Linked DNA regions of Macaca mulatta. The protein of the gene in region 3 purifies or fractionates together with the protein of the main gene of each other region. This does not show direct contact. Links are inferred from orthologs where the notes say so. Each region holds a gene or a part of one and is shown on either strand. Other genes may lie near its edges. The genes, in order: HNRNPA0, PRDX1, KRAS and C1QBP.

Region 1 (7,481 bases), on a different chromosome or scaffold from region 3:
ATAATAATAGAAATAAAGTGCACAATAAATGTAATGCACTTGAATCATCCTGAAACCACATCCTGGTCTGTGGAAAAATTGTTTTCATGAAATAGGCCGTTGGTGCCAGAAAGGTTGGGCACTGCTGGTAAACTATTATTTAAAAACAATGTAGACAAAAACTATCTACTAAAATTGTAAATTCCTAAAGTAACAGTTTTCGTAAGTTATGGTCTTTATTCCTTCGGAAGTTCATCTTTTACTGGTTTAAGATTTGGATGACTCTAAAACAGTGGTGCCATCTCCGCTAACAGTAGCGTCTGCCTCCTGCATTCAAGCAATTCTCCTGCTTCAGCCTCCCAAGTAGCTGGGATTACGGCATGTGCCACCACCCATGGGGTTTCAATTTGTTGGCCATGCTGGTCTTGAACTCCTGACCTCAAGTGATCTGCCTGCCTCAGCCCCCCACAGTGCTGGGATTACAGGCATGAGCCACTGTGCCCAGCCCATTTTCCCTTTTCTTTATTATCAATAGGCAAATCCTGACATTTGAATTTTTTTTTTTTTGTAATAACATGGTTAATAGCTTTCTCCTGTCCTCTTTCGTTTTTTTTCCAATGTATCACTATCTAACATGCCATATACCACTCTTGTTTATTGTCTGCTTCTTCCCACTAGAATGTAAGCATCATGAGGGCACAGGTTTTTGTCTGTTGTTTACAGCCATATTGCCACCACCAGGCATAGGATTCATATAATTGGACAAACTGAGCACTTACTATGTGCCAGGCATGTATACATGTAGAATCTCTTTAATTTTCACTACAACAGAAAGATGTTTTACTATTCCCATTTTAAGATAATAAAACTGATTACATTTTTAAAAAGGTTAAGTAACTTGCCCAAAGTCACATAACTGGACGGTTACAGGGTAAGTGATAGACCAGACGAGTTTACCCTCAAACTTTAGTCCATCTATTTACCTTTGTTACAATATCCCCCTAACTACTTAACCTAAGATTCAACACATTCCATAGTATCATTTCATAGTATCAAAGACCCTCAACCTGTCTTACCTCTTACTGTTTTCTATCTAAAACTGCCTGCTCCTCTCAAACTAACTGGTCCACTCCCTGTCTCTTGAAGCTTATGTTCCCTCTGGATTTTGCTCAAGTAAACTCCATATAGAAATCTTTTTTTTTTCCTTTCCAATTTTTAATTTTAGGTTCAAGGGATACGTGTGGAGGTTTGTTATGTGGGTAAATTGTCTTGGGGGTTTGGTGTATAGATAATTTTGTCACCCAAGTCACCAGCATAATACCTCATAGGTAGTTTTTCAGTCCTCACCCTCCTCCCACCCGCCATCCTTAAAAAAGACCTAATGTTCCCTTCTTTTGTGTCCATATGTACTCAATGTGTAGCTCCCACTTATAAGTGAGAACTTGTGGTATTTGGTTTTCTGTTCCAGCCTTAATTTGTTTAGGATACTAACTAGTCTTTGGCTCTGAGGTTCAGTGCAACTTCCAATTCTTTCCTAAATCTTTCCTGAATACTTGAGGATACGGTGAGGAATTCCTCTTAACTTCTTCAGTATTTACCATATAGTTTTGGAGGCTTTTGGTCACGTAATGCCTCATATTAACTATGTCCCACCCCATGTATCTTGCTGGGCACACAAAGGCTCAATAAATGGAAGCCGTTGTAATTTTCTTCCATTCCCATCTGAGTGAGGGCACTAAAAGCAGTGACTTAGGGCTATATGATCTCTCTTTCTCTCTGTAAAACGTTCGTCTAACCAACACCTTTAAAAAGCTAACATTCTACTTTTAGGAGGCCGAGGCGGGAGGATCACTAGGTCACGAGTTTGAGACCAGTCCGGCCAACATGTTCACCCTGTCTCTACTAAAAAATACACACATTAGTCAGGCGTGGTGGTGCGTGCCTGTAGTCCCAGCTACTCGGGAGGCTGAGGCAGGAGAATCGCTTGAACCTGGGAGGCAGAGGTTGCAGTAAACCAAGATCGTGCCGTAGCACTCCAGCTTGGGCGAGACTCCGTCTCAAAAAAACAAAAAGCAAAACAAAACACAAAAAACAAGCAAAGCTAACATTCTAGGCCAGGCGCGGTGGCTAACGCCTGTAACCCAGCACTTTGGGAGGCCGAGGCAGATGGATCACCTGAAGTCAGGAGTTCCAGACCAGCCTGACCAACATGGTGAAACCCCATCTCTACTAAAATACAAAAATCAGCCGGGCATGGTGGTGGGCGCCTGTAATCTCAGCTACTCAGGAGACTGAGGCAGGAGAACAGCTTGAACCCAGGAGGCGGAGGCTGCTGAGCCGAGATTGCCCCACTGCACTCCAGCCTCGGCAACAAAAGTGAAACTCATCTCAAAAAAAAACAAAAACAAAAACAAAAAACTAACATTCTAGTTGAAAGAAAGCAACACATGGATGATGTAAATTACACATAAAAACCCATTCACTGAGGTTAAATGAAAATTTTGGAGTATGCCAAGGGGACCTGAAAGGGCCTCCTTCTGAGAGGGCGTCGTGGGAGGGCTTCAAGGATGGCGGGATGGTGGCAGGGATGTCGCGCCTCGTCTGGTTCGTAATGTCTGAAGCTCTTTGGTTCCGTTGTCTTTCACACCGCCGCCTCGGGCTCGCTTTTGCGCAGGGCCACGTGGCAGAGTTTTAGTTTAACCGCATGTCGGCCCACCGTAAACGGTTAATAACCGCCTTCGTGGACCAGGCCTCTGCCCTCCATCTTTGTGCGGGCGGGAGGTGGGGCGGGGACGCCAGGTGTAGCGGACAAGCGGAAAGGCGGCGGGTAGATCCGGGCCCCCAACCCCAACGTCAAGTTTTCAAAAAGCCCGCGCATGGCGCCCCAGGCCGCATCCGCTGGGAATGGCCCCCAGCGCGCCTCCTGCTCTCTCCCCTGCAAAGCCCTGGGCTGCAGAAGGCGAGGGGGTGGCAGACAGGTTCTGCACGCTGGGGGCGCCGGGGCAAGCGCGCACCGGGGAGCGCGCCCGTCCAACAGCTGCCGAAAACGGAAGTGGGTGCGAGGGGATCACGGTGATTGGCTGAACTGACATGTCTCTCAAGGGGCTGGCGCGAACGCCACTGCGGAGTTGGGCGCGGAGATGAGGAAAGGGGAGGGGGAGAAACACTGGGAACAGCCGCAGTGCTAGGAGGAAATGAATCGCGGCGGTGCGCGGAGGGCAGGGAGGGACCCATGTCAAGGGACAATAGGGCGCTCGGGAATGAAAGCGGGTTGGCAGAAGGGGAGGCGGGAGCGGCACAGGCCGCGGGCTTGAATAGACCGCGGAGGGCGGGGAGTCCGTGATCTAGAGCGGCGCTGCGGCGCGGTAGGCGGGATTAAGGGGAGCGAGGCGGGGATTGGAGGGCAGCCCTAGGCTGCCGTACGTCGGCGGTGACGCACGCCTCGGGGAGGGTGCGCGCGCGTTCAGCGGCCTCTTTGTGTGGTGCCCAGATAGGGGAGCGGAGGTGGCGGCGGCGGTAGCGGTGGCCTTGGTTGTCTTCCAGTCTCCTCGGCTCGCCCTTTCGCCGGCACCGCTCCCCTTCCCTCCCCCTTCCTTTCTTCCTTCCTTCCCTCCCCTTCCCTTTTTCCCTTCCCTGTCGGTGACCGGCGGGGGTGGCTCCAGCAGCGGCTGGGCCCAAGCTGTGTAGAGGCCTTAACCAACGATAACGGCGGCGACGGCGAAACCTCGGAGCTCGCAGGGCGGGGGCAAGGCCCGAGCCTTGGAGATGGAGAATTCCCAGTTGTGTAAGCTGTTCATCGGCGGCCTCAATGTGCAGACGAGTGAGTCGGGCCTGCGCGGCCACTTTGAGGCCTTTGGGACTCTGACGGACTGCGTGGTGGTGGTGAATCCCCAGACCAAGCGCTCCCGTTGCTTTGGCTTCGTGACCTACTCCAATGTGGAGGAGGCCGACGCCGCCATGGCCGCCTCGCCCCATGCCGTGGACGGCAACACTGTGGAGCTGAAGCGGGCGGTGTCCCGGGAGGATTCGGCGCGGCCCGGTGCCCACGCCAAGGTTAAGAAGCTCTTTGTCGGCGGCCTTAAGGGAGACGTGGCTGAGGGCGACCTGATCGAGCACTTCTCGCAGTTTGGCACCGTGGAAAAGGCCGAGATTATTGCCGACAAGCAGTCCGGCAAGAAGCGTGGATTCGGCTTCGTGTATTTTCAGAATCACGACGCGGCAGACAAGGCCGCGGTGGTCAAGTTCCATCCGATTCAGGGCCATCGCGTGGAGGTGAAGAAGGCAGTCCCCAAGGAGGATATCTACTCCGGTGGGGGTGGAGGCGGCTCCCGATCCTCCCGGGGCGGCCGAGGCGGCCGGGGGCGCGGCGGTGGTCGAGACCAGAACGGCCTTTCCAAGGGCGGCGGCGGCGGTTACAACAGCTACGGTGGTTACGGCGGCGGCGGTGGCGGCGGCTACAATGCTTACGGAGGCGGCGGCGGCGGTTCGTCCTACGGTGGGAGCGACTACGGTAACGGCTTCGGCGGCTTCGGCAGCTACAGTCAGCATCAGTCCTCTTACGGGCCCATGAAGAGCGGCGGCGGCGGCGGAGGCAGCAGCTGGGGCGGTCGCAGTAATAGTGGACCTTACAGAGGCGGCTATGGAGGTGGGGGTGGCTATGGAGGGAGCTCCTTCTAAAAGAAAATTTAAAATGCCTGGGAGTGGCTATTGGGGTAGCTCTTTTCAAAAACCCAAGTGGGGTCAACTCCTAAGCCCCACCCCCTCACACCCACACCACCGCCTTCCCTGTTTTGCCCTTGGGGGAGCCACTTCTAAGGCTGCTTACCCTTGGGGGTGTTCCTCTATTTGCCTGCCACCTCTCTTGTCTCTCCCTCTGAAGATGGACTCGGCCCCACATACACATTTTTGTGTTACAGTCATTGATGGACTCTATTTTTTTATTATTACTTGGACCTTGGTCGTTTTTATACTAGCAAAATGTCTTGTTTTAATTTGTGTTTTTTGGGGGGAGGGAGGGAGTGAACTTGCTGATTCTGTAGCAAAACCTGGGCGGGGGTTGGGGTGGGGGGTAGTTTACTTTGTTGTAAGGACTTGATAACCTGGCTACAGCGTTTTCTATGAAATCTACTTGGATCCCATGCCTGAAATTTGGAAGCATATGTACAAAAATCATTTTTACGTTTTATTTTTAATAAATCATTGTGTTTGACCGTACATGTCTAACATTTCTTTTCTAGGATCCATTCCGTACCGTTTTTAAGGGATATTTGTTTAAGACTTTACGTGTTAATTCTTTATTCTTGATGTGTACTTAGAGAAACTTAAGAGGTCCTGTGGTCCCCCCCCCCGCCCCCCGTTGCCCTGCTAGTTGCGTGTTGAATTATATCCCCTACAGGCAAAACTTTTGAAGTGGTGGATGTGGCTTTTTAAACTCTTAAGTTTCTGTGCATCCATCTCTTGTACTAAGCGATTTGCTTACCATCTTGACATGGTTGGTCATTTCTATGACAATTTACTTCAAACTGTGTACTGTGTAGTTCTATATAGTTTGTGTTAAGCATGTCATTCATATAAACTGTTTAAAATTTTTCAGATGGCCTAGTTTCATCCCTCTTACTGGTTTATCTGTAATGAATGGTTAAAAATGAGGGTTATATTTTACCCTCAGATGCGTTTTTGTACTTTCAGAGCAGGTTTAAACGGTTTTTTTCCCCCTCTATATCTGAACTGTTGTCCTCATGGAAATCCTTTTCCCGATCTTTGTAGCACCACCTACTGGCAGAATGGCAGAGTAGCTGCGAAACAATTTGTTTAAAAACTTGCTTAGGACAATTGCATCAGATATAGAAGTTTTGCCATCAGAATTCTTTGCAGACTTGGAAGTTACACGTTTGCTTGTAACTGAGATGGGCTTCACAGGAATGTAGTTGCCAGTTCATATCACAATTGCCCTTTCTATATGAGGTTTGAAAATGTAAACTGCTATGCATAGCTTGGGCAATAGCCCTAAATTGCTATGACAACTAATGAACCAGCTACGTATACTGGTATTTTAGGTGCAAGTTGTAAAGCAAAATATCTGTGTATTCTGCTTGGTTAACAAATGTATATTTGTAGCCCTTTCATGCAATAGCATTCAAGTTGTTGTTTATAAGAGAAGAAAAAACTGATAATAGGAGAAAATTGCCTTTCTGAATAGAAATATAGAATAGCAACGTTTATGGATATCACAAATAAAGAATTCAATTCTTTACATGATTGAGTGAGAGTATGTATAACCTGGTGGGTGGGTTCAGAGTACCTTTTAATCTAGTGTGCTTAACTTGATGTTATGATAATATTTAACTTAAATATTTGACTTAAATATTGATGTTGAAGGCTCAAAGCTATACTAAGAAACTTTCTGAAAGATTATTGGGCTTTAAAATAAAATAATATTTTAATATTGAACCATTTTTTAACTTTTTGTCACTGTTCAATTCCTAAAGGTCTAGTTCTTGCCAGATTTTTTTTTTTTTTCTGATTGACAGGACTTTTAAAGAAGTATGAAGAAAGGTTAAGATTATTAGGCTAAGTTATGGCTGCTCAGTAGTCACTTTGACAAAGGGTAGCGGATGCTTGGTACAAATAGTGTTATATCCTCTGACAAATGGGGTGAATGTTTTTGCACATTGATGTGATTAACACATAGTCAAATCCTTTGCTCTCAAATCTACAGTTTCCATACATTTCTGTCTTTTTTTTAATTCTAGTGATATACAAATTACATGTGGGCTACTTCATTTGGTAATTTGGTCCAACTTTTTGTTGGCTGTAGAGTGGCCTCTAGGATACAGAAAATGATTCTGAGATTTTTCGTTGCAATTGTTAAATACTACTCTGCTTGACTTACTCAGTTTTGGTGGGAAGACCTGGGTCAATTGGAATAGTAGTTCACCTTTCTCAGGGTTTTCAGTTTAATAAGGTTATTGTCATTTTATATTCCCAACATGGGAATATAGTGGCTTCTAAAGTTTGCAATTGAATTATGTAATAGGATTTTCTGTTTATTAGGAAGGCAGCCTATCCTGTTCATGGTATATTAACACTTCATTGTCATGTGTCTACCCTTAAAATTGCTATAAACTGTAGTGAAGAAAAAAGCATAGTGGTATTTAGTCACTTCTGGGTTCCTCTTGTCACTTTATATGCAAAAGCATTTTGGCATGTGGGACTTGGGGAGGACGGACAACTGGTTGTATGTTTTGACCCCTTCCACCTATGAGAATTATCTGAACATTATTCAGATTTAAGAGTTCATGGGAGCAGGTGGTACAGAACCTAGTGTTGAATATAATTTTCGTGCTATGCTTGAATGTATTTTGACGGATTAGCAAAATAAAAGTGAACCTCCTATTTTTAATCCTATTTTTCATCTTAATGTGAAGAATTTTTGCATTTACATTCTTTTAAAAGTCTAAATGCAGTAGTCTTTAGTTGAAAGTGGTTTGAAAGGCAGTTAA
Region 2 (7,786 bases), on a different chromosome or scaffold from region 3:
GTTGTTCCATCTGTAATATCAACTCTCCTCTGGGGTCAAAACAGGCAAGGGAAAGTGCCTAGCCCTCAGCTTAATATTAACAACTGTAATATATATGTGACCCAAATGAACAAGCAGTGTCACAGCTCCAAAGAGTTGAGTGAGTTCTGAGACTTTAAATGTAGAATGTCTCTTATAACAAGAGATAGCCGGGCGCGGTGGCTCAAGCCTGTAATCCCAGCACTTTGGGAGGCCGAGGCGGGCGGATCACGAGGTCAGGAGATCGAGACCATCCTGACTAACACGGTGAAACCCCGTCTCTACTAAAAAATACAAAAAAACTAGCCGGGCGAGGTGGCAGGTGCCTGTAGTCCCCGCTACTCGGGAGGCTGAGGCAGGAGAATGGCGTAAACCTGGGAGGCAGAGCTTGCAGTGAGCTGAGATCCGGCCACTGCACTCCAGCCTGGGCGACAGAGCGAGACTCCGTCTCAAAAACAAAACAAAACAAAACAAGAGATAATGTGAATTTCTCCAATAATAAAATAGAGGAGGGCCAGATGCAGTAGCTCACACCTGTTATCCCAGCACTTTGAAAGGCTGGGGCAGGTAGAGGGCTTGAGCCCAGGAGTTGGAGATGGTGCCCATCTCTACAAAAAACACAAAAATTAGCCGGGCATGGTGGCATGCCCCTACAGTCCCAGCTACTTGGGAGGCTGAGGTGGGAGGATCGCCTGAGTCCAGAGAGGTAGAGGCTGCAGTGAGCCATGACTGCACCACTGCACTCCAGCCTGGGTGACAGAATGAGACCCTGTCTCAAAAATAAAAATAAATAAAGAAAATAGAGGAGGAATACTAAAAAGATAATTGAGCTAGTATGTCCAGACATAATGAAGCATGTGGTTTCTCCAGAAGTGGTTTGGTCCTAGGATATATACCCTGTAATCACTTGATAATCACTACTTCAACATGAAGGTAACAACCTAAATACTTCTTTCTAGGAGACAAAACGTTTTACAGTCAAACATAACACTGACACAAATCTAACAAGCCATCCCTAGAATATAAAATAACCCCATCTCAATGAGCCCAGTGTAAATTCTCTTACCTTTGTAGTCAGACAGGCTGATATCTTTAAACTGACCATCTGGCATAACGGCTGTGGCTTTGAAGTTGGGGGCAGGGTGCCCAATTTTAGCATTTCCTGAAGACATCTTCCTATTAGCTAGAAATAACAGAAATTAATTAGAAACAAGCCTTAATTTTCTAGATAACCAGCAGCCTTCACCTACTTAAGAGACTTAGCTGTAGAACAATCAAGGCATTGTCCAGTGTCCCTGAATACATTAAATGTTATTTTAGTAAGAAGCTCAGGCCAGCAGTCAAGGGTCACAATCAGAGCTTTTGAAACAAAACAAGTCTCTGAATCTCAGCCTTTGTTTTCATTTAAAAACGACAAGGCAATTTCTTTATATACTAAGAAAACCTCTCACTCTTTCTGAACCATAATTAGTGCAGTGGCATCTTATTCATTAGACAGAAGCAGAGAGGGAGGCAGGTGAAGACTCTCAAACCAGAATCCGAATGCACAATGCCACAAACACTTTTGTTTGGCTCATAGTCATGTTGACCTTTCCCATTACTGTGCCTCCACCTGCCTTAATAACGTCAGAAGCATATTTGACTTTTCTCCAGGTAGCTTTGTCAAAGACAGCACACGGTCGACCTATAACTAACACAACTTGTTTTATTTTATTTTTTTTGGACGGAGTTTCGCTCTTGGGGCCCAGGCTGGAGTGCAATGGCGCTATCTCGGCTCACCGCAACCTCCACCTCTAGGGTTCAAGTGATTCTCCTGCCTCAGCCTCCGGAGTATCTGGGATTACAGGCGCTAGCCACTACACCCGGCTAATTTTTTTGTAGTTTTATTAGAGAAAGGGTTTCTCCATGTTGGTCAGGCTGGTCTCGAACTCCTCACCTCAGGTGATCGCCCAACTCAGCCTCCCAAAATGCTGGGATTACAGGTGTGAGCCACCGCACCCTTCCAGCCAGTCCAACTTTTAAGAGGCAAGACCACTGGGCGCGGTGGCTCACACCTGTAATCCCAGCACTTCCGAAGGCCGAGGCAGGCGGATCACAAGGTCAGGAGTTCAAGACCAGTCTGGCCAACATGGTGAAACCCTGTCTCTACTAAAAATACAAAAATTAGCCGAGAGTGGTGGTGCATGCCTGTAATCGCAACTACTCAGGAGGCTGCTGAAGCAGGTGAATCGCTTGAACCCGGGAGGCAGAGGTTGCAGTAAGGCAAGATCACACCACTGCACTGCAGCCTGGGCGACAGAGTGAGACTTTTCACTCTGGGCCATACAGTGAAGAAAAAAAAAAGCCGGTGGGGGGGGGGGGCGCGGGAAGACCAAGATATTGGCGTCTGCTTAATTTCAAATCTTTAGGTATTGTGTAAGCCCTAGAAGTCCCTTCACAAATGGGTTCCTGACTTCTGGGCTAATATCCCAGGGCGAAAAGAAGTAGAACAAGAATCAATTTACTTCTGAAAAGGAAGGTTGCGCAGGATTCACCCAGATCAACACCAAGATAAGCATCGAGATCTTGGCCTGTAATGCCAGCACTTTGGTAGCTGAGACAGGCAGATCACCTCAAGTCAGGAGTTCGAGAATAGCCCGGCCAACATAGTTAAACCCCGTCTCTAACAAAAATACAAAAAGTTAGCCGGGTGTGGTGGCACGCGCCCGTAGTCCCAGCTACTCCGGAGGCTGAGGCAGGAGAATCACTTGAAACCGGGAGATGGAGGCTGCAGTGAGCCGAGATCCCGCCACTGCACTCCAGCCTAGGAGACAGAGCAAGACTCCGTCTCAAAAAAAAAAAAAAAAAAAGTTCGCGACAGGCCTGGCCAACATGGTGAAACCCCGTCTCTACTACAACTACAAAAAAAAAAAAAAAATTAGCCGGGCGTGGTGACCGGCGTCTGCAGTTCCAGCTACTCAGGAGCTGATGCAGGAGAATGGCTGAACCCGCGAGGCGGAGCTTGCAGTGAGCCGAGATCGCACCACTGCACTCCAGCCTGGGCGACAAAGCGAGACTCCATCTCAAAAAAAAAGAAAAGAAAAACAGCAAAAATTTGCCGGGGCTTGGTGGCACACGCCTGTAATTCCAGCTACTCGCGAGACTGAGGGAGGAGAATTGCTTGAGTTCGGCAGACAGAGGTTGTCCCAGTAAGCCGAGACCGCACCACTGCTACTCCAGCCTGGCCGACAGAGCGAGACTCTCTCAAAAAAAAAAACAGAGTTTTAACCCACTGAGCCGCAGTCTAAAAGTTTTTCCAAGTCCTAAAGTTCTTTAAAAACTGTTTTTTAAAAAGTCCTTAACACCTTTAACGACAAAAAACAAAAACCAGAAACTAATGCATGCTGCAACTTGGTGTCCCCAAATGGCCTTCTCGTCCCATCCTACTTTCCCAGGTGGCTCCCAAGTACCAAACCCAACCAATTCGGGGTAAAGGCTGCTTCAGGCCGGCGCCGGGCCCCTTCAGGGGATCTGCCCAGTGCCGAGGGCCACACCCCTGAACCCCACTTCAGGTACCCCTGTCCCTCCCCAGCACTGTGTAAAGTACCAGCAGAAAGAGTGCTTCAGCGGGGACATTTGGGCTCATCACTAACTCCATTCCACGTACAGGAAAATAAAGACGGGGAAAGGGTACCCGAAGCTCCGCAGCTAGTCAAGGCTCAGGACCCGGAACAGCATTTACCCTATCACAAGATGGACAAAAATACAGGCTGTCTTCTACAGCCACGAGTCCGGATACAGGTCCATTCCAGAAGCTTCCCGAACCCACCCCGCCCGACAGGAGGCTAGTCTTGGAGACCCCACCACCAGCCCGCCCAGACGCCGCGCCACGTGCTCAAGTTGCCGGGGAACGACTCGACTCGAGTCCACGCTAGCCTTGGGGTCCCACGTCCCCGCACCTACGTGGGGGGCCCATGAGAGGGGTGCGCGTAGCGCTCAGGCAGTCTCGGGCTCCGGGTCTCCCCCGGCCGCCTCACGCATCACAGTACCCCCACCCAAGGGCGGGCGAGCCCCGGACAGGAGAAGGAAGAGGCAACAGACAAGAAAGGCGCGCCGCGCCTCACTCCGCAGAGGCCGCGCTGCCCACACTCACCAGTCCTAACACAACTCACAGATCAACACCACGGAAGAACAAAACAGGCAAGAACAAAACGCGCAAAATCCGCCCGGGGCGCTGCCTTTATAGCCAGTAGGGCTCTCGCGAGAGTCGGAGCGGACCAGGGGTTCTGGAAGAGAAGAAAGAGGAGGGGGATGTGGCCCGAGCCCCGCCCGGCGCGCCCCACCGGAATGACTCGGCGCTTTTCCTCGTGGGGGCGGGCGCGGAAATACTAATACCTCTCCCTGCTGCGGATGGCTGAGGCTGGAGTGAGGCGCTCTTGTGGCCGCTCCCAAACCCAAACGCTTAGGTTAATCCAAGGTCTCTGCGAAAAACCAGGATTCCCTTTACTTCCAGGACCACTACGCACTGTGCCCTTAATGCCCAAACCGGAGTAAGCGTCCTAGCTGCTGCCCACGGATGACCACGTCTAACCACACCAAGCCATGAGAACTGTCTGTCCGAATATTTCTTAAGTTAAGCAGCCTTAACCCCAGCGCAGATCCTCAGTAACCCTCATGGGTTAGATAGCTTCCTTCATTGTTCTCTTTGATTACAGGGTTGCTGCTTTCTGTTGTAAAGCAAAATAAAATATCAGGACTCCTAAACTTATGCCAAAGGGAAAGTTCAGTTTAGGACGCTGATTCAGCTACACGACCATCCTTTCCCCGGATGAATAACTTGACTTTACAATCTTGAGTCAAAATATTACACATTAGCCAGACCTACACAGTAAGGCAAAAGGCCTCAGACACTTCCTGATGACTACCCCCCACAAACACACATACACAAAATCACAATTATTTGCTACCCTGGAAACCTTTAAAGTATGTAGCCTCCCATAAAACAAGGACGTGTCAATTGTAACTAGATCTGCAATCTAAAGTCTAGTTCCTAAAACGAAAGTTTGTTGTATTCCACATTTTTTTTGAGACGAGTCTCACTCACCCTGTCGCCCAGGCTGTAGTGCAGTGGCACGGTGTAGGCTTACTGCAACCTCCACCTCCCGGGCTCAAGCGATTCTCCCGCCTAGCCTCCGGAGTATCTGGGACTACAGGCACGCACCACCATGCCCAGCTAATTTTTTATATTTTTAGTAGAGACGGGGTTTCATCCTGTTGGCTAGGCTGGCCTCCAACGCCTGACCTCAGGTGATTCACCCACCTTGTCCTCCCAAAGTGCTACGAATATAGGCGCGAGCCACCTCACCTGGCCTCTATTCCACAAATTCCATAAATGTTGACTACTATATTACCTTTCTACTAGACTACTTTCTACCTTTCTAGTAGTACCTTACTACTAGATTACCCTGAGTCCATCACACAATTGTTTTCTTCCGCTATTCCCATTTTCCTCAAACATTCACCTTATCTTGTGTAAAAATGTAGATTTAGGCCGCCGAGGAGGGGGCGGATCATAAGGTCAGGAGTTTGATACCATCCTGGTCAACATGGTAAAACCCCGTCTCTACTAAAATACAGAAAATTAGCTGGGCGCGGTGGCGCGCCTGTAGTCCCAGCTACTCGGGAGGCTGAGGCAGGGGAATCGCTTGAACCTGGAGGCAGAGGTTGCAGTGAGCCGAGATCACCACTGCACTCCAGCCTGGCAACAGAGCAAGACTCCGTCTCAAAAAACAAAATGTAGATTTACTGAGCATTAGCTAAAGTCTTCGCCTCACTTTCCCACCCCCACTTTTCAAAGAAAATGTATAAATGCTAAAAACCTCCTGAGAACCTCTTGGGAAGAAGCAGCCACAGAAGTGTCTGTGACATGGTTTAGTCTGTTTAGTCACTCATTTCGATTAACACTATCTCTTATCCATCCTTTCCACTGCAGCCGAAGGAAATTTTTCTGAAATCTGATCATGTCACTCTTATTTGTGGTTTAAAAGCTGGGGCTAAAGAAAGAAATAATAAAATAAAATTTAAAAAGAAAATAAAAATAAAAATAAATAAATAAAAGCTGAGGCTCTGTAGTCAATTTACTGAGTTAAAACTTCTCAGCCGGGCACGGTGGCTCAAGCCTGTAATCCCAGCACTTTGGGAGGCTGAGACGGGCGGATCACAAGGTCAGGAGATCGAGACCATCCTGGCTAACACGGTGAAACCCCGTCTCTACTAAAAAATACAAAAAACTAGCCGGGCGAGGTGGCGGGCGCCTGTGGTCCCAGCTACACCGGAGGCTGAGGCAGGAGAATGGCGTAAACCCGGGAGGCGGAGCTTGCAGTGAGCTGAGATCCGGCCACTGCACTCCAGCCTGGGCGACAGAGCCAGACTCAGTCTCAAAAAAAAAAAAAAAAAAAAAAACAAAAAACTTCTCACTATCAGGGCCGGGCGCAGTGGCTCATGCCTGTAATCCCAGCACTTTGGGAGGCTGAAGCAGGTGGATTACCTGAGGTCAGGAGTTCGAGACCAGCCTGACCAATGTGGAGCAACCCCGTTTCTACTAAAAATACAAAATTAGCCGAGTGTGGTGGCACATGCCTGTAATCCCAGCTACTCGGGAAGCTTAGGCAGGAGAATTGCTTGAACCGGGGAGGCAGAGGTTGCAGTGAGCTGAGATAGCGCCATTGCACTCCAGCCTGGACAACAAGAGTGAAACTCCGGTCGGGCGCGGTGGCTCAAGCCTGTAATCCCAGCACTTTGGGAGGCCGAGACGGGCGGATCACGAGGTCAGGAGATCGAGACCATCCTGGATAACACGGTGAAACCCCGTCTCTAATAAAAAATACAAAAAAAAAACTAGCCGGGCGAGGTGGCGGGTGCCTGTAGTCCCAGCTACTCGGGAGGCTGAGGCAGGAGAATGGCGTGAACCTGGGAGGCGGAGCTTGCAGTGAGCCGAGATCTGGCCATTGCACTCCAGCCTGGGTGACACAGCAAGACTCCGTCTCAAAAAAAAAAAAAAAAAAAAAAAAAGAGTGAAACTCCGTCTCAAAAAAAAAAAAAAAAAACTCGCTGTAATTTTAGGTGTGAACTTGGGCAAGTCTTCAACCCATTAAACCTTACTTTTCTCAACTGTAAAATGGGAATACTATTAATACTTTATTGTGATTATCTATGTAGTTCAGTACAGTACTTGGTTCTTTTTTTTTTTTTTTTTTTTTTTTTTTGAGACAGAGTCTTACTCTGTCACCCAGGCTGGAGTGAAGTGGCGTGATCTTGGTTCACCGCAGTCTCCGCCTCCCAGGTTCAAGCAGTTTTCCTGCCTCAGCCTCCCAAGTAGCTGGGATTACAGGTGCCTGCCACCACGCCTGGCTAATGTTTATATTTTTAGTAGAGACGAGGTTTCACCATGTTGGCCAAGCTGGTCTCAAACTCCTGACCTCAGGTGATCCACCCGCCTCAGCCTCCTAAAGTGCTGGGATTACAGGCGTGAGCCACTGCGCCCAGCCAGTGTTTAGTTCTTATTATAAATTAGAAATATTAGCTGCTATTACTATAATTCTTCTATCCTTCACCCTTATAACACCCAGAACACAGTGTAGCTGTTTCAAGACTTCAGACTCTTTTTTTTTTTTAAGACAGAGTTTCGCTTTTCTTGCCCAGGCTGGAGTGCAATGGCACGACTTCGGCTCACTGCAACCTTCACCTCCAGCGTTCAAGCAATTCTCCTGCCTCTGCCTCCCAACTAGCT
Region 3 (7,354 bases):
GAACCTGTGACCTACAGTGAAAAGGAAAAAGTTAATCCCAGAAGGTCTGTTTTGCTTGGTCAAGTTAAACCCCGAAGAAAACCCGCAGAGCAGAAGCAAGGCTTTTTTCTTGCTAGTTGAGTGTAGACAGCAATAGCAAAAATAGTACTTGAAGTTTAATTTACCTGTTCTTGTCCTTCCCCTTATTTCTTATGTATTACTCTCATCCCTTATTTCTTCTATAATATCCTCATTTTGCAGATGTGTTCTACATCTCACGAGTTATTACAGTACTCCAAAACAGCACTTAACGTGATTTTTTTACATGATTTTTTAAACTTACAGAGGAATTGTAGCAATCCACCAGCTAACCGCCTGAAATAGACTTAAACATGTGCATCTCCTTTTTTATTTTTTATTTTTTTGAGATGGAGCCTCGCTCTGTCGCCCAGGCTGGAGTGCAATGGCGTGGTCTCGGCTCGCTGAAACCTCTGCCTCCAGGGTTCAAGCGATTCTCCTGCCTCAGCCTCCTGAGTAGCTGGGACTACAGGCGCCCGCCACCGTGCCCAACTAATTTTTGTATTTTTAGTTGAGAAGGGGTTTCACCATGTTGGCCAGGATGGTCTCCATCTGCTCTGTTGCCCAGGCTGGAGTGCAGTGGCGCCGTCTCGGCTCACTGCCACCTTCGCCTCCTGGGTTCAAGCAATCCTCCTGCTTCAGCCTCCCGAATAACTGGGTTTATAGGTGTCTGCCACCATGCCCGGCTAATTTTTTGTATTTTTCATAGAGACAGGGGTGTCACCATATTGTCCAGGCTGGTCTCGAACTCCTGACCTCGTGATCCGCCCACCTCGGCCTCCCAAAGTGCCTTATGCATCTTCTAGCTGAAGTCTAAGCCTTCTTAAATCTTGAGTTCTATCAAAACAGAAAGGTTTTCTAATTGTTATACAAAATATACGTTATGTTTATAATAGCATTTAAAAACTAAGTGATAAAGGGGAAAGGTCTATTTGTAATTATCAGCTCAGAATTAACCATATAACTGGTGTCACTGAAGTGACTAAGGTCCAAAATGCTGACTCCTACATGTGATAGACTACAGATACCAAATATGGTTGCTAACATTAGTTTACTTTGAGACTGTAGCCATACACAGTGTACTTGCTTTTAAGAGATGGTGGATGGTAATTCCGTTTTATGACAAATAAAAATGAATTTTCTTCCATAACAAAATTGTTGGATTTGAGTCCAGTCCACTCCTTATTAGCTTTTCTAACTGTGAGTAAGGGAGCTCCTCCCAGCCCATGATCTTCATTTGATAAGACTACTTTGGAGCCCAGTTCTCTCTAGTGGATTTAAATGTGACTTGGTTTTAAAAATCTCATTCAAAGAATTTTTTTTTTTTTTCTGGAAACAACCACCGCATAAACAAGTAAACCAGAAGATATATGTGGCTGTGAATTCGTACATATACACAAACTCTAATCCAGTGTCTGTCCACAGTATTTACTAGGCTGGTAAACTTTTTGGCCTTAAGGACCCGTCTACGCTCTTTCTTTTTTTTGAGAGAGTGAGTCTCACTCTGTCACCCAGGCCAGAATGCAGTGGCGCTATCTCGGCTCACTACCACCTCCGACTCCCAGGCTCAAGCGATTCTCCCGCCTCAGCCTCCCGTGTAGCCGGGATTACAGGCTCCCGTCACCGGGCTAATTTTTGTGTTTTTAGATACGGGATTTCACCATGTTGGCCAGGCTGGTCTCGGCCTCCTGACCTCAGGTGATCCGCCCGCCTAAACCTGCCAAAGTGTTGGGATTACAGGCGTGAGCCGCCATACCGGGCCTACACTCTTAGAAATTATTATTGAAGGGGCCGGGCAAATTGGCTCTTGCTTGTAATCCCTGAGGCAAGAGGATCGCTTGAGGCCAGGAGTTGGAGACCAGCGTGCTCAACGTAGTGAGACCTTGTTATAAAGAAAAAAAAATTGAGAATTAAAAAAACCTTTGATTTGTGTGGGGTTTATTAATATTTATCATATTGGAAATTAAAACAATTTTTTTAAAATGTATTAATTCATTTAAAAATAGAAATAATAAGCCCATTACTTAGTAACATGAATAAAATATTTTATGAAAAATAACTATTTTCCAAAACAAAACCAAAACTTAGAAGAGTGGTGTCGTTTCACACTTTGGTAAATCTCTTTAATGATGTGGCTTAATAGAAGACATGGATTCTTATATCTGCATCTGCATTCAATCTATTATGATCACACATCTGGAAAACTTGTGAATGAATGGGAGTGAAAAGGGTAAAGGACATCTTAATGTTACTATGAAAACAGTTTTCACCTCTTGCATACCAGAAAAGTCTTAGTAACCTGAGGGGTTCCTAGACCACCTTTTGAGAACTGTTTTAGGCTATGCAAACTGGTTGGGGGGAGGTTGGGATAGGCAGAGAGCTAGAGGATACATTTTAGTGTAATTCTCCTCATCCATTCCTAATTGCTTTGGCCTACATTTGAAATAAAGCATGGAGGCAAATAGGATAAGATATATGTTTGTAGTGGTTGTTAACTGACCCTAGACAAGCAGCCAGTAAGTCTAGGTAGAACAGAGTAAGGCGGGGAACTGTACTGTGACTGTGTGTGACACAATTTTTCTAGCCTGTGGTGCTTTTTGAGGCAGGGCTTAGGAGTAAGGTTAGTATGTTATCATTTGGAAAACCAAATTATTATTTTTGGTTTTCAGTAAATAGGATACGGTGTATATTTAGTGGTTTTTTTTCTTTTTTCTTTTTTTGAGACGGAGTCTTGCTGTGTCGCCCAGGCTGGAGTGCAGTGGCATGATCTTGGCTCACTGCAAGCTCTGCCTCCTGAGTTCACACCGTTCTCCTGCCTCAACCTCCCGAGTAGCTGAGACTACAGGTGCCCGCCACCACGCCTGGCTGATTTTTTTGTGTTTTTAGTAGAGACGGCATTTCACTGTGTTAGCCAGGATGGTCTTGATCTCCTGACTTTGTGATCCACCCACCTCGGCCTCCCAAAGTACTGGGATTACAGGCGTGAGCCGCCACGCCCGGCCTATTTAGTGTTTATCTACAATACATGCACATTCATTATATGGAGCTACTCATCCATAATAAATAATTGTGCATTTACTCCCGTTTTTTCCTGCATTTCTCTCCTTATTTGTAATTATGTGTTACATGAGGGAAAGGAGATGAAATTAAACATTCATATTTTTTCAAAAAATTTGAAACAACTGACTAGAAACTATATTTTATTTTCTGTGTGGTGCTTGTTATACAAGTTGTCAGTATTCATGCACCTGTGGGGAGACAGTGTAGGAAAAGCAAAGAGTAACAGTCATGTGGATTACTGAGACATATTCACTTGCATCTCTTAACAACTGTTTTACTAAAAACAGTGTTTATCTCTAATCTTTTTGTTTGTTTGTTTTGAGGCAGAGTCTTACTCTGTCACCCAGTCTGGAGTGCAGTGGCTCCATCTCAGCTAACTGCAACCTCCGCCTCCCGGGTTCAAGCGATTCTCCTTCCTCAGCCTCCTGAGTAGCTGGGACTACAGGAGAGCGCCACCACGCCTGACTAATTTTTGTATTTTTGGTAGAGATGGGGTTTCACCATATTGGCCAGGCTGGTGTTGAACTCCTGGCCTCAGGTGATCCACCCGCCGTGGCCTCCGAAAGTGCTGGGATTACAGGCATGAGCCACTGCACCTGGCTTTCTAATCTTTATCTTTTTGTGTGCAGCAGTGATACAGGATTATGTATTGTGATTGATGATCACATCACCTGGACTGAATAGTTAATTTGGAGTTCTCTTAGTTTTTACCTTTATTTTCCCCAGAGATTTTTTTTTTTTTTTTTTTTTTGAGACGGAGTCTTGCTCTGTCACCAGAATGGAGTGCAGTGGTGCGATCTCAGCTCACTGCAACCTCCGACTTCTATTTTCCCCAGAGATATTTCACACATTAAAATGTCATCAAATATTGTTCTTCTGCCTTAGTGTTTAAATTTTTATTTCCCCATGACACAATCCAACTTTGATACTCATTCTCCCAACCCTCATCTGATTCTTACTGTTAATACTTATCCAAGAGAGTTACTGCCATGATGCTTTAAAAGTTTTTCTGTAGCTGTTGCATAGTGACTTCTAACTCTTAGAGGTGGGGGTTCACTTGGAGAACTAACAATAGGAGTGGAGATAGCTGTCAGCAACTTTTGTGAGGGCGTGTCTACAGGGTGTAGAGGACTGTTCTAGACACTTGCATGAGTGAAGTCATGATCCTTTGAGAGCCTTTAGCCGCTGCAGAACAGCAGTGTGGCTGTTTAGATACAACAACTTGAATTTAAAGATAAAAGAACTATCTATGCAGCAGTTAGGTATTTTTCTTAAACGTTGATGGAGGAGTTTGTAAATGAAGTACAGTTCATTACAATACACATCTGTAGTCAACTGGAATTTTCATGATTGAATTTTGTAAGGTATTTTGAAATAACTTTTCATATAAAGGTGAGTTTGTATTAAAAGGTACTGATGGAGTATTTGATAGTGTATTAACCTCATGTGTGACATGTTCTAATTTAGTCACATTTTCCTTATTTTTATTATAAGGCCTGCTGAAAAATGACTGAATATAAACTTGTGGTAGTTGGAGCTGGTGGCGTAGGCAAGAGTGCCTTGACGATACAGCTAATTCAGAATCATTTTGTGGACGAATATGATCCAACAATAGAGGTAAATCTTGTTTTAATATTATGCGTATTACTGGTGCAGGACCATTCTTTGGTACAAATAAACGTTTCTCTGACCATTTTCATGAGTACTTATTACAAGATAATTATACTGAAAGTTACTTTAAGTTTTCTGAAATGTACCTTGGGTTTCAAGTTATATGTAACCATTAATATGAGAGCTTTCCTTTCCTTGGGAGTATGTCAGGGTCCATGATGTTCACTCTCTGTGCATTTTGCTTGGAAGTATATTTCAGCGTTTTGTGAGAGGGTAGAAATTTGTATCCTATCTGTACCTGAAAGGCAATCTTTTTAATGTAACTTTTATTTTTATGGGTTTCTTGGTATTATGACATCATATGTAAAGGTTAGATTTAATTGTACTAGTGAAATGTAATTGTTTGATGGTTGAGTTTTTTAAACTTCATTAGCAGTATTTTCCTATCTTCTTCTCAACATTAGAGAACCTACGACTACCTGATAAATTTTAAAAAATGAATTCTTTGCCTAAGGTGTGATTTATATAAAGATGCTATTACCAACTTTACGTTTGCTTTGTTGTCATTTTTAAATTTACTCAAGGAAATGCTAGAATTAAAAAAAAAATTCCTTGACTAAATTTAAATTATTATGTTTTGAGGATTATTTTCAGCTTTTTTTAGTTTAATGAAAAGTAACCAAAGTAAAGGCCAGCAGCAGAATAAGTAAAGACCTGTAAGAGACCTTGAGAGGTCAGGTAGTAGAATTCCCTTCCATCCCAAGCAGATGAGGATTTATTTAATCTCAGAGACCTGCAGGAGGGGACATTCCCCAACTGTCCTTGTTAACCCATTTTCAGAACATACTTATTAGCATATTTCACACGTAATTTGAATCTTCATGTTAAATTTAACATCAGTGGAGATGGAAAATAAGCATATCACCTTGTCTTTGAAATAGCCCTATATTGTAAGATTATTTCTGAGGCTTCTTTACCCTTGATTAAGCAGTCCTAATCCTTTAGCATTTATTCTACATCTGATGTACTAGTTTAAAAAAATTGGCTCTGAAAAATTTCTGAGAACTTTCTTGAAGTCCCAAGCTGTGAAATCTAGAACAGGTCAAAGTGCCCTATTAAGGTACTGTACTGTGTAATGTCTTGAAGAAACACTTTGCACTGGGGCAAGTTCTGAGGGCATTGGTGGCCTTGGGAAGATGTGTATGCAGTTTAGAACCTGGAGAATTGATTAGATAACTAATCATAGGGAAATGTCACTTATTTTTGGTACTATAAAAAAGTGAAGAAATAATGCCTATTTGCAAAGATTTGATTTAAACATAGAAACAACTTTATTTGGCTTCCAATTCTGAGAATTTACAACAGTAAAGGGGAACAGTCTAATTGAAGTAGACTGCCTATGCAGTAGTCTCTGTATATTTACTTTTGACAAGTTAATTCAATGTATACTACAGTTTTGTTTGTTTCTTTGAGGAGGTTTGAATAGTACACCCATTTCAATCTGTATTGCAAATTCAGGGTTACTTGGCAGACTCTACTATTTAAATCAGATGTAAAAGGAAGTTTTAATAGAATTCACTTTATGCATGAAAGTTTTCCTGGGATTTTGGAAGGTAGTTTTACTGGAAATGCTCTCTGTCTTTCCTGAAAATCTGAGAAATTCCATTACACTTTGTTTCCAATCAGAGGTCATGAATGCTATATGAGTGTATATATAGCATGACGTCATGAATATGATAAAGTGGGTTAGGACACCTTTTGCTAACGATTGTTAAAATGCAATATAAATCTTGAAGAAACAAAGCTAACAGTTAAGACTTTATTTGTGGGGAAGGTTGAAAAAGTTTATAAACTTAAACCTATAACTCTGATTATGATTTCTGCCAAACCAGAAGACTTGACTGTGGGAAGCATTGATTACCTGTGAACTTTGAAACTGACGGTCCCTGACGTAGTTTAGTCACCTGGGAAAAGGTATCTGAGATTATCTGTTATCTCCCAAGTTACAGTGAGTCTCTGAGGGAACTGACGTATTACATTAAATTCTTGGTGTAAACTGTAGGAGAGGCAAGAGAACTTAGTAGTTTAATAGTTGGCCGAATGGAAATGCTGACTCCATGTTATTGTAAAAAATTAAAAATTTAGGAGGATATGGGGATTTCACTGCCATTGTAGGTTTTGATTGGTATTCACCAATCAGTGTGGGTCAGAGAGAAAATTAGAAAGGATATGACTGCACATTTTGGAATTATTAGCAGTTTTTCTACATTTAAGATGGAAATACATTTTTTAAAAATTTAAATCAAATAATACTATATTTTTTGGTGACTTAGGTTTTGCAAAATTTACACTAAGAGGTAGTGAGGAGGGTGGCTATTGTTTCTTTTTGTTTTTTTTTTTTTTTTGAGACGGAGGCTCGCTCTATCGCCCAGGCTGGAGTGCAGTGGTGCGATCTCCACTCACTGCAAGCTCCGCCTCCCAGGTTCACGCCATTCTCCTGCCTCAGCCTCCCATGTAGCTGGGACTACAGGCGCCCGCCACTGCGCCCGGCTAATTTTTGTATTTTTAGTAGAGACGGGGTTTCACCATGTTAGCCAGGGTGGTCTCGATCTCCTGACCTCGTGAT
Region 4 (6,128 bases), on a different chromosome or scaffold from region 3:
CTTCATGGAACTTGTATGGAACGGTGCCTGCCAGAGTTGCATAGTCCAGCAGTTCTGGTTCTAAACTTTATCTCCCAGGAATTTTGACTCAAACTTTGGGACATGATTTGTCAGGTGTGGATTCTTGCACCTTAAAATTGTCGCTAGTTGGTGTCTCTGGCCTGCTTTGTGATGATAAAACTTCCCACAAGTACTCTGAAGGATGACTGTCTACTACAGCCGTTTTTTTCTTTGTGAGGCATCCCCTTCCCGAGGCCAGGGCTGCTCTCCGTGTTTAACAGATGCAACCCTCCATTGCTCCTTCTTCCTTTCCTTGCAGGGCAAATTTTCTTATGGGGAAAGGCTCTTAAAGGGGCTTCTGTTCCATCTCACCAGCCTCCCAGGTCCTTACTTTCACCAAGGGTTCCTTGGAAAGACCAGGGTGGGCAGTGTCAGCTGGCTGTGGCCATGAGATGCCCAGTCAACACATGGCAGTGAGCCCTGGGGTACTGGCCCTGTTGGGAGTAACCCATGCATGACTTGTTTGGCTGAGATAAGCTGAGGCCAGCTTTGGCTTCCAGCAGCTGGTACATGGTAGGCACACTTGAGACCTGCTGAATCACTCAGGACTGGATGTAGGTACCAGCCTTGTTTGAAGTTCTGCATATAATTCAGCCAGCTAGGATAGAGACATTGTTTCAGTACACCTTTGTAACTGTAGCAGACCTCCCTGTTTGTGTGTTAACCTACTCAGTTAAAATGATGCCTTGTCTGTTATGTTTTCTCTTGCCCTTTTAGAATCATTGTCACTTTCAACATTAACAACAGCATCCCACCAACATTTGATGGTGAGGAGGAACCCACGCAAAAGCAGAAGGTTGAAGAACAGGAGGTAAGCTTAACACTATGATCAGCTTTTACCTCAGTTCTGACAGGCTGTCCCTGGGACTTAAAGAAGGAGCGTTTTTCTTTGTTCTTTAAAAAAAAAAAAATTTTTTTTTCCTCTAAGGCCAGGCACGTGGCTCACGCCTGAATCCCAGCACTTTGGGAGGGCAAGGTAGAAAGATCCCTTGAGGCCAGGAGGACCAGCCTGAGTAACATGGCAAGACCCTGCCTCTACGAAAGTTTAAAAAAAAACAAATTAGCTGGGCATGGTGGCACGACTGTGGTTCCAGCTATGCAGGAGGCTGAGGCAGGAGGAATCAGTGGTTTCTGGCCAGCTTTAACAGGACTGTGGCCCTCTTCCTTTTCCCAGGGGCAAAATACGTTGCTGTCTGCCAGCTCAGGCTTAGTGGTTTGGCTGGAAAGGAAATGAAATGTTCTCAGCCTTTCCCATGATAGGGAGTTTTGTTGTTTTTGAGAGAAGGTCTCGCTCCATTGCCCAGGCTGGAGTGCAGTGGCACGATCTCTGCCCACTGCAGCTTCCACCTCCCACGTTCAAGCGATTCCCCTACCTCAGCCTCCCCAGTAGCTGGGATTACAGACATGTGCCACCACACCTGGTTAATATTTGTATTTTTAGTAGAGACAGGGTTTCACCGTGGTTGCCAGGCTGGCCTCAAACTCCTGACCTCAAGTGATCCAGCCACCTTGGCCTCCCAAAGTGCCGGGATTATGGGCGTGAGCCACCACGCCCGGCCTATGGGGAGATTTTTTATATTGGAGGTTATCATTTGGTGTGTTTGCATGTGTGGAATGTTCCTAACATATCAGTCACAAGCTGGTAATACACAACAGCCATTTAACCAAGATAAGAATGCCAGGGGCAGGCTAGGTGTGGTGGCTCAAGCCTGTAATCCCAGCACTTTGGGAGTCCGAGATGGGCAGATCACAAGGTCAAGAGATCGAGACCATCCTGGCCAACATGGTGAAACCCCATCTCTACTAAAAATACAAAACTTAGTTGGGTGTGGTGGCAGGCGCCTATAGCCCCAGCTACTCAGGAGGCTGAGGCAGAATTGCTTGAACCCGGGAGGCGGAGGTTGCGATGAGCCGAGATCACACCACTGCACTCCAGCCTGGCAACAGAGCAACACTCTGCCTCGAAGAAAAAAAAAAAAAAGAATGCCAGGGGCATAAGAGACTTTAACTGGATCATGCCTACTCTTCAGACATTTTAGGAAGTGCTGTGCCCAGCCTGGTAACCAGCCAGTACGAGGGCCACAGAGTCCCTAGACCTTCTGCCCAAAAGCCATCAGTACAGTGTTGGGTCATGACCTGGTGTGGATGGCACAGCTCTCTGGTGTGCTTCTTTCCCAGCAACCCCAACTAGCATCTCTCTGACATTGGACCCAGTCTGCTCCCAGAGCTCCACATCAGAGGAAAAGCTGCTGCTGTTATTCAGCCATAAAGATGGCCAGGTTCCCCAGCCTTTGACCCTGGTCCCTTTTGAAGACTCCTGGAACAGTCAAGCTGGAATCTTGAAACTTTAGGAAAGCTTTGCAGTGTATGGGTGGAGGAAAAGGCTTGGAATGTTAAGGAACTGATATAAACTCAGTTAATTGGCACATAGCTGAGGCGGCTGGTATCCAGATTTCTTAATTGAAAATCCAGTGTGTTACTTAAACAAGCAGGGTGCCAACAGAAGTGAGATCAAGCTCTTCATTTGGGAATAGTATGGCATAAGACTATTAAAATGGCTACATAACATCCTAATGGTGGCTCTGAGAAATCTGAACAGAGATCCTTGATCCAGGCATCCATCTCCTTCCAGCAGTGGCATGTACTGACTTCTTGTTTTCCCAGCCTGAACTGACATCAACTCCCAATTTCGTGGTTGAAGTTATAAAGAATGATGGCAAGAAGGCCCTTGTGCTGGACTGTCATTATCCAGAGGATGAGGTATGTAGGATGGAGTGCTAGCCCCTTGGCACCCCTGGGGAGCACAGCGTGTCCCTTGGGAACTTCCTGTCCCTTTTAGCATAAATTTAAAGACTTTCTAGCTTAGACCAGCCCAGCAGGGGGAGAGGGGAGGGGAGTGAGGGAAGAGGGTTAAAACCTGATCAGTTTCATGCTGTCAGCAGCCCCCTTTCTTCGCATGAGTCTGGCTTATCCTGGAGAACCCTTCAGTTTCCCCAAATATTGTTTCTTCTCAGGTTGGACAAGAAGACGAGGCTGAGAGTGACATCTTCTCTATCAGGGAAGTTAGCTTTCAGTCCAGTGGCGAGTCTGAATGGAAGGATACTAATTACACACTCAACACAGATTCCTTGGACTGGGTGAGTGCTTGATAAGATGGGGGAACCTTTTGGGCCGTGGAAGGAAGGGTCCTAGTTCAAGGGGAGAAAGAAACATTTTAATGTTCATTACAGATTTTTTTTTGTTTTTAAACTAGTAAATGTTGTTCTTTGCAGGCCTTATATGACCACCTAATGGATTTCCTTGCGGACCGAGGGGTGGACAACACTTTTGCAGATGAGTTGGTGGAGCTCAGCACAGCCCTGGAGCACCAGGAGTACATTAGTTTTCTTGAAGACCTCAAGAGATTTGTCAAGAGCCAGTAGAGCAGACAGACGCTGAAAGCCTTAGTTTCATGGCAGGCTCTGGCCAGTGAACAAGTCCTACTCTGAAGCTAGACATGTGCTTTGAAATGATTATCGTCCTAATATCATGGGGAAAAACACCAAATTTAAATTATATGTTTTGCGCTCTCATTATCATTTTTCCTGTACAAATCTATTATTTCTAGATTTTTGTATAACATGATAGACATAAAATTGGTTTATCTCCTCCAAAGCAGTGTATCTATTCTATTCCTCCCGCTTCAACCTGCGTCACAAAAGACCAAGAACAGAGATGTCGGAAAAGTTTTTTTTCCTTCAGGATCGGTTAAAAGTTTCGATACAAAATAAGTTATAAATAAAAGGCTTGTATGTACAAGGCTCCTCAGGGAGTGAGTGGTCTTCAACCCGTAGAATGATGTGAGTCCACGCTGGCTCTAGAGGATCACAGCCCAGGTATCACAGGCCTAGGTTTAAACAGGAGAAGAATTAGCTTAAATTGTATTCTAGTCATGAAAGACATGTGATACATCGTTAAAAGTTGTAATCAATGAGAATGCTACACATTAGATGAGGTCTCCTGAGTCTAGTTTGAATTAGTTAGGTCGTGTAATTTGTCATGAAGGCCACCGACGACTGCCCCTCTTTGGCTTTGCTGGACCTCTGTCCTGCAGCCTTCAAACAGCTGTCTGGAAACCGTCAGCACCAACAGTCTTCAAGCTAAGATCAAATCTGCAGATGAACTAATCAAACATCCTCACCTCAGGAAACTACTGACCACAAAGATTGTATGATTGTATTCAAACTCTTGGTAGCTTGGAGCTTTTAGAGCCTAGCAGGAAGATGAGACTCCAAGTCTACACAAGATTGAAGCAGGTGCGTATCACAGGGGAGGTACCAACCATGCATGATCAGTACGGGCAGAAAACATGTCTTCCCCTCGATCTGTAATATGATCAGTAAGCACCTAAGTGTAAAACTGGCTCCCGACTCCTTGGTGGCTCAGCCCCTCCACTATGCTAAGGAATCATCTGTCCTTGAGCCATTTATGCCAGAGGTTGCAATTTTTTTGTGTGAAAAATCAGACCTCGGCGATGACCTTGAGCAGTAGGGGATCAATAACTCCCCCAGGCTTAGCGTTCCACTAACAAAACAGTAGGCATAAATAGGTTACCCTTGTTTCTTACCACTTTCACAGGTAATATATTTGGCTTTCTCTAAAAGACACTATAACCCTGCTAATAGGTGGTTTAGCATATTCTATCCCATGACCACCACCTGAGCACCGTCACATCCAAAATATTCCTAAGTCTTGTAATATAGTGCCATCTTCTGTAACCCATCCCTATTTTCCAACACATCCTCAGTCATCTGTGCTGAGCCTCCCTACATCCTGACTTCACTGAATTCTAACACAATGGTCCTTGAGTCCCCCTTAAGCGAAAACCAAAGGTCTAGTGGAACTAGAGCATTCCAAATGTCTACTTTTCCAAATGTTGAACTCGGAACCTACAGAATACAATTTTGTCTTTCCCCTTCCTGTTTCTTGTTTTTTGTTTTTGTTTTTTTGAGGCTCAATCTCGCTGTCACCCAGGCTGGAGCGCAATGGCGCCATCTCAGCTCACTGCAACCTCCACCTCCTGAGCTCAAGCCATCCTCCCACTTCAGCCTCCCACTGAGTAGCTGGGAGTACAGGTGCGAGCCACCAGGCCCAGCTAATTTTTGTATTTTTAGTAGAGACCAGGTTTCACCATGTTGTCCAGGCTGGTCTTGAATTCCTAGCCTCAAGTGATCCATCCACCTCAGCCTTCCTAAGTGCTGGGATTACAGGTGTGAACCACAGCGCCTGGCTGTGTTTCTCGTGTTTTCTGTGAACCCCGCCTCCCTCACCCCTTACTTACCCAACAATGGTCTCCCTGCCCGCCCCAGAGCCAGCACTGACAACTATGATCTCCAAGACTGCTACACAGCACTCACCTTCCAAACCTCACCTCCCACTTAGCTTCACTGCTGCTCTGAGCCACAGGACACTGACGGTTAGGTGAGTGGATAACTGGGGTCCATAATTATATGCTGAGCTGAAGCTGTACACATGGCAATTAGGCAATCTTCTGCTTACCCTTTAATTGCCCTTCTCGTCCACCCGCCAGCATTTGGTCTTTCACACTCAAGGGGACTTTCATACTTGAGGAGCTGTAGACTCTAGCTCTGCTACCATTATAATCTGTGTAGATGACTCACTGTTCACCTTACTAAGACAGAAGCCAAAGCCAGCTGACCTGTGCCCTCTTCAACTCTCCTCCCTCCACCTTAACTCATCTGTACAAACATATTAAGCACGTATTTATTAATATAGGCCAAGCGCTGGGAGTAGAAATAAATATGGGCCATGCCCTCAAGGACAGATATGGGCAGGTAACTGCAGCACTGTTATGGATGACACGGCATGAGGTATGGTGGAAGCCCAAGGAGACACTGGCCAATTCCCCTCTGCCAGCCCTCATTAGGTTTGTTGAAAAAGGGAACACAGACTCTAAAGGAACGGACTTCTCAGGCTGGCCAATTCTTTTTTTGTTTGGTTTTTGGTTTTTGAGATGGAGTTTCGCTCTTGTTGCCCAGGCTGGAGAGCAGTGGCGTAATCTCCGCTCA

The links.
Region 1: the proteins of KRAS (region 3) and HNRNPA0 purify together in Homo sapiens (affinity purification with mass spectrometry; 3 studies listed by BioGRID and IntAct, with this or other methods). This does not show direct contact. The link is inferred for Macaca mulatta from reciprocal best matches to the Homo sapiens genes KRAS and HNRNPA0.
Region 2: the proteins of KRAS (region 3) and PRDX1 purify together in Homo sapiens (affinity purification with mass spectrometry; 3 studies listed by BioGRID and IntAct, with this or other methods). This does not show direct contact. The link is inferred for Macaca mulatta from reciprocal best matches to the Homo sapiens genes KRAS and PRDX1.
Region 4: the proteins of KRAS (region 3) and C1QBP purify together in Homo sapiens (affinity purification with mass spectrometry; 3 studies listed by BioGRID and IntAct, with this or other methods). This does not show direct contact. The link is inferred for Macaca mulatta from reciprocal best matches to the Homo sapiens genes KRAS and C1QBP.

Annotation. Positions count from the first base shown.
Region 1 is NC_133411.1:146,601,770-146,609,250, reverse strand, and holds HNRNPA0 (heterogeneous nuclear ribonucleoprotein A0), read left to right. Parts: upstream 1-3,575; 5' UTR 3,576-3,744; coding exon 3,745-4,656; 3' UTR 4,657-5,327; downstream 5,328-7,481. UniProt on the Homo sapiens protein: mRNA-binding component of ribonucleosomes. Specifically binds AU-rich element (ARE)-containing mRNAs. Involved in post-transcriptional regulation of cytokines mRNAs.
Region 2 is NC_133406.1:195,088,721-195,096,506, reverse strand, and holds the start of PRDX1 (peroxiredoxin-1), read right to left. Parts: upstream 4,218-7,786; 5' UTR 4,151-4,217; intron 1,202-4,150; 5' UTR 1,191-1,201; coding exon 1,085-1,190; intron 1-1,084. UniProt on the Homo sapiens protein: Thiol-specific peroxidase that catalyzes the reduction of hydrogen peroxide and organic hydroperoxides to water and alcohols, respectively.
Region 3 is NC_133416.1:27,585,189-27,592,542, reverse strand, and holds part of KRAS (GTPase KRas), read left to right. Parts: intron 1-4,611; 5' UTR 4,612-4,623; coding exon 4,624-4,734; intron 4,735-7,354. UniProt on the Homo sapiens protein: Ras proteins bind GDP/GTP and possess intrinsic GTPase activity. Plays an important role in the regulation of cell proliferation.
Region 4 is NC_133421.1:6,932,958-6,939,085, reverse strand, and holds the end of C1QBP (complement component 1 Q subcomponent-binding protein, mitochondrial), read left to right. Parts: intron 1-777; coding exon 778-871; intron 872-1,235; exon of another isoform or gene 1,236-1,347; intron 1,348-1,986; exon of another isoform or gene 1,987-2,130; intron 2,131-2,724; coding exon 2,725-2,820; intron 2,821-3,074; coding exon 3,075-3,197; intron 3,198-3,332; coding exon 3,333-3,482; 3' UTR 3,483-3,714; downstream 3,715-6,128.